Rattus norvegicus: one gene and its partner. The protein of the gene in region 2 purifies or fractionates together with the protein of the main gene of each other region. This does not show direct contact. Links are inferred from orthologs where the notes say so. Each region holds a gene or a part of one and is shown on either strand. Other genes may lie near its edges. The genes, in order: Mapk14 and Ptprr.

Region 1 (4,439 bases), on a different chromosome or scaffold from region 2:
AAATCCCTGGGGGCTGGAGAGATGGCTCAGTGGTTGAGAGCACTGTCTGCTCTTCCAGAGGTACTGAGTTCAATTCCCAGCAACCACATGGTGGCTCACAACCATCTATAATCAGGTCTGGTGCCCTCTTCTGGCCTGCAGGTGCATACATGCAGGCAGAAAGCTGTATGATGTATACATAATAAATAAATAAATGTTAAAAATTTAAAAAAAAAATGTCTGTGTCTCTGGAAGACAGGCAAGGAACTGACAGACTAGAAGGCAGGGCTGAAAGCAGGGTTTTTTCTTTTTTGTTTTGTTTTTTTTTGCTGCAGACCTCTTTGACCCTTATTTCAAGCGACCTGCTTTGTGCTGTGCACTGCTGCAGTGTAAGGCCAGGACTGTGCCATGGTTACATCACTAGGCCAGCACTACCTATGTTCAAGAAACTGTTTGGTAAGGGCTGGGGATTTAGCTCAGTGGTAGAGCGCTTACCTAGGAAGCGCAAGGCCCTGGGTTCGGTCCCCAGCTCCGAAAAAAAGAACCAAAAAAAAAAAAAAGAAACTGTTTGGTAGAAGTCTATCTCATTGGGAGGCTGTGCTCAATCCCATTGCAAGAAAGTAACAGCACTAGAGGAAGTGGTGTTGGTTTCACTGTGGCAAGTCACTGTAAAGCTGGCTCTTCTGCCAGGGCAGCAGTGGCCCTAGGAAACCCTGCAAGTTCCCTCTCCCAGAAGCCCTGAGTTCTGCTCCATCCTTCCCAAGCATCCAAATGGGGACAAAAGCCTGATGCTGTAACAGTGAGCAATGAAGACTGGAGATACTGAGGGAGCTGGTGAGTACTAGAGAAACAAACCAATCACAAACACGGGATGTAAATTATTGACATCCCCTTTAAAATGCAAACTGCCAGTCTGTAAACTTGGGGGAAAGAGGTCAGGGCTGGTGCTATCAGCAGCACAGCCTAGGCAGCTCCAACGAGCAAACGCAATATGATCTGTTGCCGGACATGGTTGCACAATCGCAATTACCAGGAAGATTCTACCAAACAGGAAATTCACGATGTGACTTTAAGTAACACAGGATTCATACTTAAAGATTAACACATCCAGAAGCCTAGAATTTGTTCCAAAGGGGGGGAAAAAAAACATTTCACAGGCTCTTTCAGGGAAACGTGAATATAAATCACTAAAACGCAGAAGAGTCTAGTCTGTTGAGTCTGGTCTTTACTTTCAGATAGGGAGGTCTAAACTGACACTGAGTCCCAATAAATGAGACTATATGAATCCTTGAAAGTCCCTGACATTTCTGGAGTGGACCTTTGACTGTATAAATTTAATCTGAAACCTGCTCCCAGGGCCTTGTGTGGTAGCAAATGCCTTTATTCTCAGCGCTGGCAGGAGACAAAATTTGTTGAGTTCCAGGCCAGGCTTTGGTCTAGCCACTGAGGCTCAGGCCAGACAGGGCCATCCATAGTGAGACTCTGTCTCAAACGAACTCAAACAAAAAGCCGAAGTGTTAATGAAAGCTGAAAGGCATCGTTTTCTGCGGCCAGGTTCTCCCGAAAAACCCCCATGTGCCTCGGTGCTTACAAGCTTAAAGCCCCCTGCAAATCTTCTAAGGGGCTTAAAGAAAGAAAAGCATCCCAATTAAAAACCATTTACAACTCCAGCACTCGGTCCCACCTTTTTGATCTTTGAGGGGCGCCCAACAGATCAGAACCACTCTGGCTCCGTATGGAAAACTGGTTTTGTCAAACAATACTGAACTGAGCAGCGCTGTGTGACTAAGCTGAGAGCTGGAGCGTCCTTGCAGGCACTGCCACCCTCCCTCCCCGAAAAGGAAATACGCTTTCAACCGAATCGGAAACACACCACGGCAAGCTGGCACCCCGCGGTCCCCGAGATAAAGTCGGTATTATTTTAAGCCCTTCGGGGTGCTGCTAATTCAGGTGCGAATCCCAAAAGAACGTTTCCCGATTCTGGGTTTTTCGACCGAAGCTTGCAAAAATGGTTAAATGGGAGGGAAAAACTGAGAAAGAGAAAAAAAAATTCCGGGAAAGGGAGCGCTTTTTCTTGCAAGTTTCGTTCAGGTGACCGCAGTCCCCGGGTCAGGCTTTGACCTACTGCTCCTCGCCGGAGCTGCGCCCAGCTCGCCCGCTCCCCGGGGCAGGGCTCCTGCGTGCCAAGTGGCGGTACCCGGAGGCAGGGTCCAGAGGCCGCACGGCTGCAGAGGGACCCCCGGGAGGAACGATCTTGCGAGCATGGAGAGCACAGGGTGGAGCCCCATCACACCGCGCCCACGGCTGACCCGATCCCGCACACGGTTCCCCACCCACCTGAGTGTGCAGGGCGAGGGGTGCAGGACACGTCCCGCTCCAACTGCCCCCTGCACCCCCAAGACACGCCCGCAGGAGAATTCCTGCCGCTGGGCGCATCGCTGAGCTGTGGGGACAGGCCTGGCGCTCAGGCATGCAGGGCCACCCTGCTTGCTCCACCACGTTCCCTCCCACCCCCGCCCCCAACCCCAAGCCCGGCGACACTCACCACACCGAGCCGTAGGCTCCCGAGCCCACCGGGGACAGGTTCTGGTATCGCTCGGGCACCTCCCAGACGGTCTTGTTCAGCTCCTGCCGGTAGAACGTGGGCCTCTCCTGCGACATCTTCCAGCGGCGGCAGCGCGGCGACGAGGTGGCCGAGCGAGGGCCCCTGCCTGCAGCCGCACGCTCTCCTCTGCGCCCTCTCGCTCGCCCGCGGCAGACCCGACCCCGCGCCCGCGCAGGTGTGGAGGCTGCGACCCACGGCTCCTGTCAGCCGCGGCGGCACCTACGAGCCTCGGCAACGAGCGGGAGCCGGCTGCACGGTTCGACGCAGCTCCCGCCGCGGTCCCCTTGCAGCCGCTCCCTGGGGAGCGCACGCCGACGCTGCGCGACAGCCGCTCGCGCTCTAGCGCCCGCTCGGGCTCCAGTGGCCGCGATCTCCCCCCTCTCCCCGCAGGCAGCGGCCGGGGAGGCTCTAGCAGGACTCTCGCGAGAACAGCTCCGCGAGCCGAGATCTTACCCAATATGGAACCTGCCCGTGGGGCGGGGGTGCTCGAGAAGAGCGCGCGGGACGGGAAGATCTCGCGAGAAGAGAGACACGGCTCCGGGAGCTGAGGCAGGAACTCTAGGGGAGACTCTGCTCCCGGGGGGCGCCGAGGGTGGGGGCGGACCGCAGCGTAGGCCGCGCGCGCCTCTCTGTGGTCGGACCGGCGAATGCCCGGCGCCGTGGCGGAAAACCACTGGGACGGCGTCGGGGGGGGGAAAGAGAGCCAAGCGGTCTTTGAGCTCCGAGCCACCTGCTCACCGGAGCCGGCGATTTCCAAGAAAGATTTGCAAGAGCAGACTGGCCCTGTCCAGAAAGCTGTTGCGTTCCCATCCGCTCAAGGACGCGTGGCTTATCTCGGGACGCTGATGAAACCTGTCCCCCTCCCCACCCAGGCAAACATTAACCCGGTCTCAAAGCCCAGGCTCTCCCTCCCGCCGGACGCTCCTAGCAGCTTCTAAATGTCCTCACCAGAAGAACCACCGTGGAAGGTGTAGGAGGAGGTTCCAGGGACCCACTAGGGAGTCCGATGCACAAGGTCAGAGGTGGACGTCAGGAATGGCCACTTTGAGGCTGAGACCTGCGTTTGCAAGGCCCTGGGTTCGATACCCATGACTGGAAGGGAAACACACTCTCTCTCTCTCTCTCTCTCTCTCTCTCTCTCTGCAGGTAGGTCATTCCATTTCAGGAAAGTTTCTCATTTATTTTACTTATTTAGATGTACACATCCTGTAATGCCAGCGTTTGGAAAGACCAGGAGACCCGTCTCATGTATTTGATTTTATTTATTTACTGAATTATTTAGATTTATACAGCCTGTGATTCTAGCATCTGGAAAGACCAAGAGACCCTTCTCATATATTTGATGTATTTATTTAGATTTACGTAGCCTGTAATTCCAGCGTTTGGAAAGACCAGGAGACCAGCCTCTGCTATATAGTGAGTAGTTAAGAGACCTGCCTGGGCTGTTATGAGACCATATCTGGAACACCCCAAAGCCCATGACTCCGGTTCGAGACCGACTCCTGCCAATTTAGAACCATCCAAAATTTAGAAATTTAAAGGAAAAATTGGGAGAATTTTAAGAACTTAAATTGAGGGAGCTGGAGAGATGGCTCGGTGGTTAAGAGCACTGACTGCTCTTCCAGAGGTCCTGAGTTCAATTCCCAACAACCACATGGTGGCTCACAACCATCTGTAATGAGATCTGATGCCCTCTTCTGGTGTGCCTGAAGACGGCTAAATAAATCTTTAAAAAAAAAAAAAAAAAGAAGAAAAAAAAAAAAGAACTTAAATTGAGAGGATTTTAAAGACATAATTCATGAGAAATTTAAAGAATCCACGCCTTTGGAAGTTTGGGGAAACGACGAGGGCTTCG
Region 2 (4,407 bases):
CAGCACAGCTGAGAACACTTACAGCCCATCCCATTATTTAATTTACCCCATTTGTGGAGCATCCTAAGATACCATCATTTGTGCCGCCATAAAGTGGTTGCTGGCAACCTGGGTATGACTGATATCAGGCAATTAGCTTTTCATCCGGGCAGTTGAGGTGCACAGGTGTCACTGTCCTTTCTAAAAATAAAGTCAGCCTCTGTCCCTTGAATGTGGCTCTCTTTATGAGAGATAAACTCAGATATTCAACAAGTAAAAGGCTTCGAGGCTTCTTGATCTGTGCTCTCCTAGCCACTTATTTTCTTATTACCTAAATCTGTGGGAGCATAGATCAAGAAAGCTATATTTATCTGAGTTCTGATGAAAAGCCCAAACAGTGCTATTAGATAACCGCGATGCATTTTAATCTGATGACAGCTTCTGACCCACAAATTGCTGTTGAAAATTAAAATGAACCCAAAACAAAACTGGCAAGATGACAATTACAACATCAGACCCACAATCTGCTTTGAAAAAATACCATTCCAGAGCACCGTATTACATACAAAAAATAATACAAATTAATGCCACTGAAATCTGAAATATATAGCAAATCACCTGTTGCCTTATGAAACTAAAATTGGCTGGGTAATCTTATTTTTAATCTTTTCTGCAAGTTAAGAGGCCAAAGTGTAGAGAATAGATTTGCTTTGACCTTTGTAATACATGTTTTGGCAAAGCTCCAGGAATCATGGAGGGCTGCAGACTTCTAGGTTTCACCTCTGGTGGGCAGACGTCCTCTCTTTCCCTTATCCCCAGGGTTCATCCATAATAAATTAGAAACCTTTTCTCCAGACCTATAATAAAGTCTGTGTATAATTGTAAGCTTATAACTCCCTGGCATGCATTAATCATAACTGTCAACATTTGTGTATGCATACTTTTTTAAAGAATAATTACATCGATGTGTTTTATCAGATAACTAATTACTTAACTTGGTAGCAATGAAAACTTTTTTTGGCAGTGGTTACTTTTGTCAATTGTACCACTAAATAGTATTGGACATAAAGCAAAAACAGCATCTATGTAATCGTCATATACTTTAACATTTAAATAATTGTATGTGGCTGAGAAGTGATTCATTACAGTTGTTTGCAAATAATTTAATAACCAAGTCATAGCTTCTTCTCCCACTGGTATTCAAGATACCAGAGAACCACTGAAGACTCCACAATGTAATATTGTAATTATAATAATTAACATACATCCTTAATTATAGCTTTATTGTTCCTATACATCGTCTGTTTCTAAATGCATAATGCATTTAAATCGCAATAGCTAGGACAGAAAAGTACTACATTTCACTCCCATTATTGCATACAGGGAAAAAAAGCACTCAGGCTTTTGGAACACTACCGCAAAGATTGCAGTTTCCCAGCTAGTGTGTGTGTGTGTGTGTGTGTGTGTGTGTGTGTGTGTGTGTGTGTGTGTGTTTATGGTCGCAGTAACACAATGCACTCCCACTCGGTGTACTTAGAGAAATGAATGTGTGTGAAAGAAACTCAAAGAAAAGGTCTGCGTTTGCTACAGGGCTACTGCTTGGACAACTGCGGTCACGGCAGGGTTCCTCAAACCTCTCTGCCATGTTTTATTTTGGTTCACATGTGTGAAAATCATACAGGATGCAGTCCAGCAAGCTTATCCACTGTGTTAGAGGAGCCAGGTGATGCTGGATATAAAATTCCTAGGCACTTTATCAGGTTTGCATCCCTAGAACTAGATACTGATTCTTGTGTCCAACCTATTTTTATGTGACTGCACTCCTAGCTATCTTCCATCGAATTTCCCCCTGGGGAGACAGTGATAAACCCTAGGCTTGTAAGTGTGGTTGGGTTTTTCTATTCTGACTGCGGATACTGACCGTGGTGCTGAAATAGAGAAGAGCCTCCCGTTTGAAACCTTTCCTTACTCTTATTGGTTCAGAAAATCCGAGTGACAAGAGCAGGGTCCAAAGCAGCCTGGGGCAGCATTGTTAATAAACCATGCATTTGGCTCTTAGGGGCGGAGATGTAGACCATCAGGTTACAGACAGAGCCCCGTGAGCGCTCACTAAACTGGGAGAGCTTATGGATGTAGCCGCTGCAGTAGAAAGGACTCCATCCAGCAGGATGTCTCATCTCTTTTCCTGTAAAATGTGCAACCAAGTGCAAAGCCTAGAAGCGCAAGCAGGAAAGCTCGATGGAGGGGAAAGCAAATCTATATACACATTTAAAATGTTCACTCTTCGTTATGCAAGATAAAGAAAAAGGAAAGGCTGAATTTAGCCTAAGTTTTCAGCCCCAGCCTTCCAACAGGTGCACTCTCTCACCCCTCAGAGACTATACCAAACCTTCTTCTGCTAGGTAAGCTTCCCCTGGAGTCCTTAAGCATGTGCTGTTTCCCATCTCATCCTCAGCTTCAGCTCTGAACCCCCGCAAGCCCTTACCTGCAGCGTGAAGATTAAGAAGCAGGCACAGTGCAGGGAAACCGACCGCTCTCCTCATAGTGTGTGCATTGAGGGGCGGGGGAGAAACTCCACCGCAATCCCACTCCAGGCAAAGTGCTATTTGAGAGAAACACTGCCAAGAGTCCTTTGATCCCGAGGCATCCGATGACAGGGTCCTCCGCTGGGGTTCACAGAGCAGTCTGTGGCGTGCCTACAGAACCGAGCACTGGCTTCGTCTCCCTAAGGGATGGGGAGACGGGAGAGTAGGATGCTGCGGGAGATGGGGACTCGAGGTTGGTGGGTGTAAAGCGCTCAGAGGAGGTGAGTGTTTGGCCTTCCTGAAGCCCGCAGTCGGTGGTGACAGTGGGGTGGACTCTTGTGCCAGCTTCCAAGCCAGGCAGCGCCTCTGCTGCCTGTGCAGCTAGCAGCAGCCCGATACACCGAGGCACTGAGCATGCCCAGCCCCGGCCCTGGCTAGGGAGTTTCAAATCGAAATTCCACCTCTCCGGGTCTTAGCTGAGGCTGCGAGGGGAACGAGCTCCACGAGAGGGAGGAGGGGCTGGAGGCTAGCGTTAGGGACCCGCGCGTTCCTCCTGAATCTGGGCGTGGGGAGGAGTGGAGTGGGGCGGGAAGAGGCGGGGCCAGGACCACAGAGACCCAAGGAGGGAAGTGGAGGGAGCCACTCATCTGGTTCCTTCCTCGCATTTTGATTCACGCGTGGGGACTCACCTCACTGTTGCAACTAAATGTTTGCGGGCCGACCAACTTCCCAGTATGTTCCACCCTACTGAAGTATAGGCAAGCAGTTAGTCCTGGCCTGCTTGGGCAAGTGTTCTCACTAACAGCCTGCTGTGTAAAGCTAACTGGCTATTCTGAGGGCGCCCCCTACTTGCCAATTAGCTTACCCCAGGCTTCTTCCAATCTTTGTACTTCCATTGGATTCAAGCCCTAAGTCTATGACTGTAGTGATTGAAAATAAGGAGGCCATACTTACAGGGTAGGGAAGTACGCCCATGTAATTTGAAGGAAAGGAATGGTCTTTGGTAGTTTATGGAAATAGTTATCTAAGGTTCTATTATTTAATTAAAAAGTGAATATACTTGGTTATTTTGCTTGCATGCATGTCTGTTCATCAAGCCTGTGCCTCATGCCCTTGGAGGTCTAAAGCGGTTATTGAAAGCCTAGAGCTGAAGTTAGGCATGTTGCAAGCTGCCATGGCCTTCTGGGAAAAGAAGCAGTGCTCTTAACAGCTGAACCACTCCGGCCTTTTTATCTTAACTCTACTTCTGAGCTCTAGCCCTGTATCTTTAACGAGGACCCCACGGTGTGCAGAATATATGTACTTTTACTCTCTTTATCTAAGTTGGTAGGATGGAGATCCTTACCAATCTAGTGACTAATTACTCTAAGCCAAAATGTCCCTCAGCGAGGCTCCCTTCAAGACTGTTCATCCTTATGCTTCTGTCCGCAGGTTTCCCTGCTGCCTTTTGGCAACGGACCTCAGTCAGAACACGGCCACACAAGAGCTTACATAGGTCTAAACTTGCTCTCACGTTTCCAGAAAGCTCTGGGCTAACCTGAGATTATAATGTTCTTTCTCCTCCCCGGTTTTTGAGCACTGACATATATATATATGTATATGTATATGTATGTGTATGTGTATGTGTATGTGTATGTGTATGTGTATGTGTATGTGTATATGTATATGTATGTGTATATGTATATACTATATGTGTGTATGTACATATATATGTATATATTTTTTTCTGAAATGGTTCATTTATCTGTGACGCATATTTCACCAACTGCAGGCTCCTTGAGAAGCTCTGAATTTTGCATTAACTTAAATTGAATAAAGTCGTGCTGGCCAAATCAGAGGTAGTAATAAGTGCTCATTGAATTGAACTGCAGGGCTCATTCAGTGCTTTCTCCCTGCATCCCCT

The links.
Region 1: the proteins of Ptprr (region 2) and Mapk14 purify together in Homo sapiens (affinity purification with mass spectrometry; 4 studies listed by BioGRID and IntAct, counting the BioPlex papers as one, with this or other methods). This does not show direct contact. The link is inferred for Rattus norvegicus from reciprocal best matches to the Homo sapiens genes PTPRR and MAPK14.

Annotation. Positions count from the first base shown.
Region 1 is NC_086038.1:6,749,880-6,754,318, reverse strand, and holds the start of Mapk14 (mitogen-activated protein kinase 14), read right to left. Parts: upstream 2,961-4,439; 5' UTR 2,641-2,960; coding exon 2,525-2,640; intron 1-2,524. UniProt on the Homo sapiens protein: Serine/threonine kinase which acts as an essential component of the MAP kinase signal transduction pathway.
Region 2 is NC_086025.1:53,547,240-53,551,646, reverse strand, and holds the start of Ptprr (receptor-type tyrosine-protein phosphatase R isoform 1 precursor), read right to left. Parts: upstream 3,006-4,407; 5' UTR 2,523-3,005; coding exon 2,465-2,522; intron 1-2,464. UniProt on the Homo sapiens protein: Sequesters mitogen-activated protein kinases (MAPKs) such as MAPK1, MAPK3 and MAPK14 in the cytoplasm in an inactive form.